Drosophila melanogaster: one gene and its partner. The protein of the gene in region 1 interacts with the protein of each later gene in a pairwise test. Each region holds a gene or a part of one and is shown on either strand. Other genes may lie near its edges. The genes, in order: Alh and CG16734.

What was found.
Region 2: the proteins of Alh (region 1) and CG16734 interact in a two-hybrid assay, tested with the Drosophila melanogaster proteins (one large-scale study listed by BioGRID).

Annotation. Positions count from the first base shown.
Region 1 is NT_033777.3:7,121,077-7,126,378, reverse strand, and holds the start of Alh (alhambra), read left to right. Parts: upstream 1-2,193; 5' UTR 2,194-2,440; coding exon 2,441-2,475; intron 2,476-2,640; exon of another isoform or gene 2,641-2,739; intron 2,740-4,625; coding exon 4,626-5,104; intron 5,105-5,240; coding exon 5,241-5,302. Other genes in the region: CG10098 (uncharacterized protein), read right to left, coding at 234-960, 1,317-1,504, 1,573-1,719.
Region 2 is NT_033777.3:9,253,111-9,257,353, forward strand, and holds CG16734 (uncharacterized protein), read left to right. Parts: upstream 1-1,941; 5' UTR 1,942-1,983; coding exon 1,984-2,199; intron 2,200-2,251; coding exon 2,252-2,488; intron 2,489-2,552; coding exon 2,553-2,693; intron 2,694-2,749; coding exon 2,750-2,905; intron 2,906-2,961; coding exon 2,962-3,417; intron 3,418-3,476; coding exon 3,477-3,602; 3' UTR 3,603-3,614; downstream 3,615-4,243. Other genes in the region: CG16736 (uncharacterized protein), read right to left, coding at 3,615-4,056, 4,177-4,243.

The DNA of each region.
Region 1 (5,302 bases):
TACTTTAAATTCAAGTCGGAGATTGCCCACTGAGACAGAATAAATAATAATTTAAATATCACGCAAAAGCATAAAAACTAAACGAAATAAAATCAGTAGAGATTGCACAAGAAAATATTTTGACGACTAAAGCCTATTTGGTAATGCCATAAGAATGCTCAAGTCAAATCCCGATGCTCAATAGAGCTTGCAAGCTAGTTTTTGGAGTATCCATATAGATAGTATTCGTTGGTCTAGCGATAGAACTTGACTTCCGCCTCGACACAGTCCTTGAGCAGTTCGTCCAGCTCGTCACTGGCGTGATCCTGCAGAGAGAAATAGTTATTTAGCTCGTCCACGCAGGAGAGCTCCAAGCTGCGCAAGTGCTCCAAGGCGGCCGGCTTGCGTTGCGAGTGTAGCTTGTGCAGCAACGTCAAGTCCGCTTCCGCTTGCACTTGGGTTAGCGGCGAGATCCTCGGATTTGGGGCAAAAACGAACGGCTTAAACACAGACTCGGCGGCATTGGGCGTCCCGGTGAACCAATGGCATGAGATTCCCTTCACCGACAGCACCGAAACGGTAGCCGCCCTCGAGCTGCTCGCATTACTGGCGGATCGCAGCGTCTCGAACATGTCGTGCTGGGTATATGTTCCATCGCCAGCTGGCTTGGGACCACACCAATCCACTGCCGGGGCCTGGGCCTCTGCATCGTGAGCAGCGGCAAAACTGGCAGCGTCATCTAATCCCTCGCTTGACTTGTTCACCACAGTGGTCACAGCCAGTCCTCCGGAGGGCAAACGCAAGAAGCTGGCCTCCAATTTCTCAGCGGCCCATACCTTGCCAGAGCAACTCACAAGCCAGGCAGCAGCTGCATCGCAAGCGATGAAGTTTAGTTTGGAGTTGTCGTGACCGTGACTGGCCACCAAAGCTCCAATCCGGTCTACAGCATCGTCCACATCTTTGGCGACAGCCAAAGTCAAGCTACAAAAAAGTTATTAGATGATTTATTATTTCATGATTTATAATAATTGTAAAAGCCTTAGTTTCTCGACAACATTAAATTTCTGATTGATTCGTTTTTAATTAACTTATGAAATAATGTTGAAATAATAGTATCTTCAAGCATTAATAAGCCCTAAAGGACACGAAAGGATTGGAATGCTAATTACAAACATCAGCCACAAAATGTCATCCTTTGAATAAGTATTTACGTTCTGCATTATATAGACTTCATATGTACATACATTTTTAGTGATGAAAGTTATTTATATTAAGTGCAAATAATTTGCTTTGTTGTGCATAGTTTGTTGATACGCAGATATTGAAAGAGAACTTACCGCACTATATCCGTGCCCAGCAGGCTGTCGCTGTCCTTGGCCTCGTTTTCACCTGCCGCCCAGGTAAGACCTAGGGCCACTCCGCGTTCATTGGCCCCGAAGTCCCCACCCCAGAGACCCGGCTGCGGTTTTTGCAATATAACACGCAACATATCGCCGCCTGTCTCGGCAGAAGCTCCACCGTCAGTCTGAAATGTGAGGTGTTTGGGTGGTGAGTCATTGATCGAGCTTCGTTTTCGGAGGAGTCTGTCTTTACCTTCCCCTCAAGCACTTCGGTGGCATCGTAGAAGCAAACCTCCGAAGCAACGTTGACGTTTTTTTCGTCCTCCGCATTGCGACCGATGATCAAAGTTCCTTCGGCACAGTTCTCGGGCAGAACAACAAAGCAGTCACCGTTGGTCATTTTTATCCGTGCTTTTCTCGCGAAGAAGTTTCTTCAGAAGTGCGCGAGGGAGTTGCAAAATTGATTTTTCCCACAGCTGTTTAAGGTTCAAACGTTATTCAACACTGCCCAATATATATCGTGGAAATGAACCGTGGCGATGAGCCGTTGACTCGTCTGGCAACATCGGACGTTATTTATTTGTTTAGTATGGAGAATTCTAAAAGAACTATAAGGATTAGGTATTTTAGTGTTCTATATATAAAATATTTCCTTATACATCTCCATTATTTAAATGACGAGCATTAATGTTGACAATACTATGATCCAACACCAATAAGAATTCGATTTACTTAAATTACAACCTTCATTTACACCATAATTAGCAGCATTGAATAAGAGAGGGAAGTTATAATGAATATCGGGTTTTCCTTTGAATCTGGAAAAATGCAGACAAGTCGCATCCCATCTCTAAGCATTTTACCCTTCTCTGATAAAGTACCCATCGCTAGAAATCTGCCCATTCGTCTGGTAACCGAGGTTTTTCTTGTTTCGGCGTTAAAATGCTCAAAAACCTGTCTGCATAGAAGGAAAACGCGGAACGTCTCGGAATTGCAAGCTTTTCGCGATATTCGGGCAATTGGAAAAACCGCGCATCCAGCAAAATTGTATCCACTAAGCTGCATTTGTATACAGAGCAGGTGGTGTTGTCTCCCTCTCGCGCCCGCACTGCTCGCTCCCGATGTGCGAGCGAAACAACAACAAACAAGTTACAAGGTGTGTGGAGTGGTGTGTGCTGCTGGTGTTGTTGTAGCTGTAGTTGTAAATACTCGCGCACACAGTGTTGTTGTTGCGCTGGTGGATGGTGTTGTTCAGCGCCTTTTTTGAGTGTTGATTATTTTACTTGCGTGCGTTTGCTACTCGTGGGCGGCTGTGAAGACTGTGAGACGCGGAAAAGTGCTGAGAAAAGCCACGAAAAGCTAGATAAACGCTAACCCACAGCTGCGGGCTGGAAACCATTTATTTAAAGTGCCAAATTGGGTAAAGAAATTTAGAAAATCAATATTCTGTGAGGGTGCTAGCGGCCAATAAGAAACCTCTGCGTGAAAATAGCAAGAAAGTCGAAAGAATTTCAAGTTTTCGATAGACCGCTCCCTGAAAAAAATAGATATTTTCTGTTTTTGTTGTGCGTTGCTTGACGACTTTGACCGCGCGCATTTTCCCCGCCGTGAAACTAGTTTCTTTTTGTTTGGTGGCACACCGCTGATGACGTTTTAAAGCCCTGCTGGCCAGTGAAATTAAAGCAATTGCCCATAAAAATCAATAAATTCAAGCCACGGGTATACACACAATTTGAAGGAAATTTAAGCAGTGCTTTAAGAGACGAGTTGCGGAAACTGGGAGAAACTACCCTCCAGTCCCCAAAAACTCCCCCGAAGGATGTTTTAAATGGGGTACATATATACATGTACACACACCCACCCGTATTCCACCCCCCAAAAGCGCGCCCCCTTTTCCGGCATTTCGTCAACATTAATGTAGCATCTCCCCGCGTGCGTGTGTATGTATCTGTTCTGCCTGACGACAGTGTGTGTTTGCTTGTGTCGAAAGTGCATTGCTCTTCATTACAAAAGCAACGTGCAGAGCGGCCTCGTTTCATATGGCCAAGTGTGTGTGATTTTACACCGTTAAGTTAGAGAACTCCAGCTAACCCGCTGTTGGCAACACGCTGGCTGCGTTTTTCTTTTTCGGCAGTTGGCAACACGCTGACCCAATAACGGTACAACTAGACCCGCACTCTCCTCCGCCGCGATCTCTCGCACAGATGCGCATGCATGAATGAAACAGAAACAGCACCCGCATGCCGTTATTATTATTATTATAATAATTGCCGTTGTTGTTGTGAAATCTCCGCGACCCACATATTTGCGTTCGATCGCACATTGGGACCAAATCGACATCCAATTGGATTCGGGGCAGGGCTGCATTTTCCTGTTTTATTTTTGGTAGCCCATTTAAATCAGGTTCAATGAACCAACACCAGCCCACGGAATGCCGCAGAAGAGAGTGTTTGTGTGTGCGTTGCCCGTTTTGTGAAAGTTAAAAATATTTGTTGTTCGTATTGCTGTGCTAAAACCTCCTATCAATATTCGGTGGCATAGCTGTTTATATTTTCGGCCGTCTTTATTTAAATGATTCGACATACATAATTAGCATGTATTATTAAGCAGCGGCAAAATTACCTTGACATTGAGAGATTATTTGTGTGTGCGTGTAAATGTTCTGCGAACGGGGCTCCATGTGCCATCTCTCTCGCTCTCGCTTCGAAGGCCAAGTTGTAAATACAAGCGCACAATTAGGTATAATATTTTATAGGGCTACTGTTTTTGTTGATGTTATTGTGGAAAAACCGAGTGCGAATGACCTTGCCAATAGACACCTGCCTCGATAGCAGCATATTATCGATAACGAGAAAGGCCGGAACCTCTATCTCAAGATCGTCGACTTCGAGCGGGGTGGAGCGGAGCTCTGATAAAAAATGTTTTATATAGACTCTACGTTCTTTAAATTATTACAAAAATGTGAAAGAAAAAAGTAAAGAGCATGCTTATTTTCTTGATAAGGAAAGCTGAACAAATAAATTTCTTATAAATTTTACTGCTAATTCCATACAAATTTGGTAAAAAGTCGTTGTTTTTATTAGAAATACTATTACAAATAAAATTCAGAAGATTCGTAAGTGCATCATACTTATGTATGTTCAACTTTTCGCTCAACTTTCAACGCTCCTCTGGTAACGTTAATTGGACCCAAATATATTGAGTTTTAAAAATCCTCTTTTTACTTAAGGAAAATTCTTATATTATATATATATATATATATATATATATATATATATATATATATATATATATATATACTTGCAGCTCCAACAAAATTCCGTCTTCATTCAATGCGAAACTGGAGCTAGACTCCAGCAAAGACGACACCATTCACTCCACAAGCTTGAACAAGAAGCTGGTCAAGATTAAAAAGTTCAAGTTGGACGATATGAAGGAGATGGTGGGCGGCTGTTGCGTTTGTTCAGACGAGCGGGGGTGGCCGGAGAACCCGCTCGTCTACTGTGACGGCCAGAACTGTACTGTGGCAGTGCACCAGGCGTGCTATGGCATTGTGACGGTTCCCACTGGACCCTGGTACTGTCGCAAGTGCGAGTCCCAGGAGCGAACCTCTCGCGTCCGATGCGAACTATGTCCCTCGCGGGATGGCGCCCTTAAGAAGACGGATAATAGCGGGTGGGCGCACGTTGTTTGCGCCCTGTACATCCCAGAGGTGCGATTTGGGAATGTGACCACCATGGAGCCCATCATATTGTCATTAATACCGCAGGAGCGGTACTCGAAGAGTAAGCTATGTTTAAATGTTTTATATTTACATATATTATTTAAAAAATGTTACTCATTGAAAAATTATAACCCCTGTTTGTTAAACTAGCCTTAGCTAAATGGCAATAATTAATTACAATCCGTTTCCATTTTCAGCTTGCTATATTTGCCAGGAAATTGGCAAACCAAATCGTGCCAATGTTGGCGCCTGTATGCAG
Region 2 (4,243 bases), 2.1 Mb from region 1:
ACCAATTTTTTTTAATTTCTTGTCTTTAAAAACTTTTTTTCCACTTTTTATCAACATTTAAGCTTTCAAAAACATAAAAACATAAAATTAACAAGGTTTGTGTTTAAATCTGAGACCACCAGTCTTTTCTAAACTGCTCTTGCGAACACTACAACCATCAGAGATTCAAGATTCAGTTCTCTACAACTCTAAGCGAATCAAAATTTCTTAAAATTATTGTTGGAAACGAGGTATTTATGAACAAGGAAACAATCGAAGAAGCCCATAATCGTATAAAACTATAATTATAAGGTTAGATAATTGCAATTTAAAAACTTCCTGGATAGATATTCTTTCTTGGAATATATGAAAGTAAATTTTAGTGATAAATTTCACATTAAGAAATTATTCTCTTTAATTCGAATAAAAAATTTGTGACTCATATTCCAGATAAAATGACTGGATTCTTAAGACTATTGGTCGTATTTTGTGCTGTTTCAAAACTGAGCGCCCAAAGGTTAAATGCTTCTGAAGAAGAGAAAAATGCGAGAACAAACCTTTTTAAAGTTTTTAGTGAATAGATCAAATGCCGATGTCCTGAATCCACGCTCGCCTATGAATGAAAGTCAAAAAAGTGTGGACGCTCTCCAAATTGCTCCAAATTGCTCCAAATTGCCAGTGTGTGCCTTATAACCAATGTTATCCGCCGTCGGATGGTATTTTGGATACTCAAAATATCCACTGTCCAGATATATTGGCACTATGTTGTCCCTACAATCGATTACGAACAACGACTTTAAGTCCGAGCCCAAAGCCAAAAACGAGGCTGTGGAATTCTCAATGTCGGTGGTTTAAACGATATCCCAGCTGGCATTTAGTATAAATCCGAATTTGGCGAATTTCCCTGGACAGTGGCTGTAATGAAGACCGGTAACTATTCCTTTGCAGGCACACTTATTCATCCGCGGGTGGTTATGACTGTCACCTACCGGGTTGAAAATTGTGAAAACTACACAGTTCGTGCTGGGATATTGGACTTAAAATAAAATTTTGAGCTTCTACAGTCTCAAGAGATAAGGGTGCAAAGAATTATAAAGCATCCCAAATGCTGTAACGCGGCACTCTTAATCCTCGAGCAATCATTCGAACTGAACGATCATATTAATGTGATATGTCTACCTGACCAAGAAGCTGCTCCACCACCCACCTCATTGTGCTATGCCAATGGATGGGGAGAGAATGCATTCGGTAACTCGGGCCAATACACAACCATAATGAAACGGATGCCACTGCGCATTGTGGATACTGGCAAGTGTCGCGATCACTTGCTATCAATATTTGGAGCTTTTAACTAAGCACATCCATACTATGCGCTGCAGGCCAGCCAGGCGTAGAAATAGCCTACGACGATGTTGGTGGACCGCTGGCCTGTCCCCTTGGAAATCCCTCGGAAAATCGTTACCAGCTTAGTGGCATTGTGGTGTTCAGATTCTTCAAGGGACCAACCCGCATGACCAACGTATCATCGATTCGAAATTGGATTGACCAGGAAATGACTGCCAATGGTTATGATAAGTCTTACTATATCGCCTGATTAGGCCAATTAGAAAAATATTATAACTGTTTAAAAAAATAAAAACAAAACATATGTTCTTTTTGTAGAGAAAATAATAAAAAAAAATAATAAGTTATAATTATACAAATGATATATAATTTCAGTTTAATTATTAAAGAGGGTGCCACTGATTCTGTATTTCCTTTTCCTCTAATACTTGTGAAAATAAAATGAATTTTTTCATGTTCGTCAACAACATAAAACTAAAATGTTTTCTTTTTAAAAATAAGTATTGTGACGAAGTCATTTCTACTAACATTTTCACATCTGTTAAAAGTTATCTAAAAAATTCTGTTAAATCGATAGTTGCCGAGTGTTATCGGATTTGGCCGGCTTTTCTGTTTACGTTTTGGATGCTACATAATTTAAAAGAGATTTTCGAAAACAAAATGACTTGCGATGATACCACCGAAGCGCTCGCCACTCACATGTGTGAGCTGTTGGAGTTTTATATGCTGCCGGAGCTGAAGGAGGACCTGGACAACATTCAGCTGGAGACGTCGCAATTCGACAGCTACCATTCCCTACTTATCCAGGATCTGCCAAAGCTCTACGATTTGGTGCAGGAATTCCTCCTGAAAAGTGGTGATGCAGGACACGAAGAGGTTGTGCTTTGCAAACACTCAATTCCACGACTACAATCTAGTTAACTTTCAGCTAAGATTCAAGCTCCTCCTGCTGATTTGCGAATTGACAGCTTCGCCTACAATTTACCAACTAAAGGACGACTCTGGTAATCTCCTGAAGTATGCTAATGATTTGGCTAGTAAGCTGTCTTCCCATTGGTGGGAGTCGACGGATGATCAATTCCTGAAATACTACGAGAAGAAACTGCACAGGGATTGCTGGAAGAGACAACTAGGAGCTGTGCATGGTTTCGGCAGATATCTAGAGGTATACACTAACAGACAAATATTTATCCAGATAGTCCAGTTTGTTCACTTACTTTATCCCGCAGCTTCGTTACGGAAAGAAATCCGCAATGTCCACCCAAATGTTGGCTTTTGCACTATCCGTGGGTCTTAATGTGCGCGAATGCTATGATACTATCTACAAGCAACTTGGGGTCAAGATCTTCTCAGTGATGTTAAAATTTAGCGTACGTGTTAGACCACTTTAGCGCCAAGACCTTCAATGAAACACTTCATCCTTCAGGACTCCAAGGACATTCAGGAACTGAACGTGCACAGTGTGATCTATGACCATGCCCTCAAGGATGTCTACAACATGGACTCAATTGAAGCCATCGAATCTGTTTGGAACTGCCTGTATTTCTGTCTTGATCACTTTGTAGATCTAGATGCTTTCACGGTGTGTACCTTGAAACTTACTCTAGTTACTGAACATAAATATGATGGCAACTTTAGTGGAACCAATGCGACGACATGCTGGAACGCCTCATTCAGAACGTGACAATGGCCTCCAGCCCAAAAGTTTTAATCTGCCTGCTGCAGTATATCATCCGATTAGGATACTACTTCACCATCAATCGCAGCGATGTGAAAACTGCTTTGGCCATGGATATATGCGAACCAGATAAATTGGTAGCGTGTCGGGACGTATGCCTTGCTCTAAATGTTAGCACCAGCTATCGTTGGGCCAAGGCCATCCTACAAATGCTTGTCCTGGAGTCGAGCAAGCTGCTCCAAGGTGTCGAGGTATGCACTGCTTTACTGGATCAACTGCTAAGATGCTATCTGGTTTGCATCATGCCTATTCCTCTGCAAGCTTTGCATCCGCACCTGCCGGAGTTTTACGGGAAGTTTGTGGCTGTGTTAATGGAATGTTTGGTGGCCCACGAGAAGGCACCTCCAGTTCTAAAAGTATGTTATTATGTCTATATATATTTCTGGTTACATCTAACAGATCAATTTTTTCCCAGCTCGTTTCGCGGTTCATCGAAGTCTTTAGCTTCCAACTGGAAAACGGGATAACCGAAACAATGCCCGCCCAACTATCAGAATTCAAGGAGGCTCTGTCAATTGTGCACCACAAGATTTGTGAATAAATATGGGGGTCTTTATGTTATATAGCGATCTAGTAAGAAGCGATATACAAACGTTGCCAAAACAGTATGTGGGATAAGGGCCATTAGTGCCGGTTTCCATCCAAAAAAGAAGCCCTTGTAGCCATGTTTTCGGATAATTTTCCGATACAGATATGGATAGGAAGTGCGGCCATAGTGTGAGGATTCGTTTAACGTTAGAGTAGCCAACGCATCCACTGGTGTCATAATGACTGTGATAATACTGCCTGTTAGCGCCATAGTTATGAGATCGCTAAGCCACGGCTCGTCGAGTCTGTGGAACCATGATATCACTGTATGGACCTTATCACTAATAGGAGTATACAGCACGGCCACGGCTGTGCTACTAATCGAGTTTATTTTCCAACCGGTAAATAGGTAAGTAAATCCTCCCTTCGCGTACATACATTTGAGTCCTCTCCAGAAATTTCGATAGCTACAAAAAAGGGTTAACTTTCATAGCTTTGGAAGATTAAACGATACACATATAGATATTTGCTGGTTTCAAAATTAAACCGGAAAATGCCTATTTATGTTTATTCGGCCATATTCTTACTTGCGCCTCTCGTAGGATCCGCGCGTAAGATCAGCTTGCCGAATGACCGCCAGCTTGGCGAACGGTG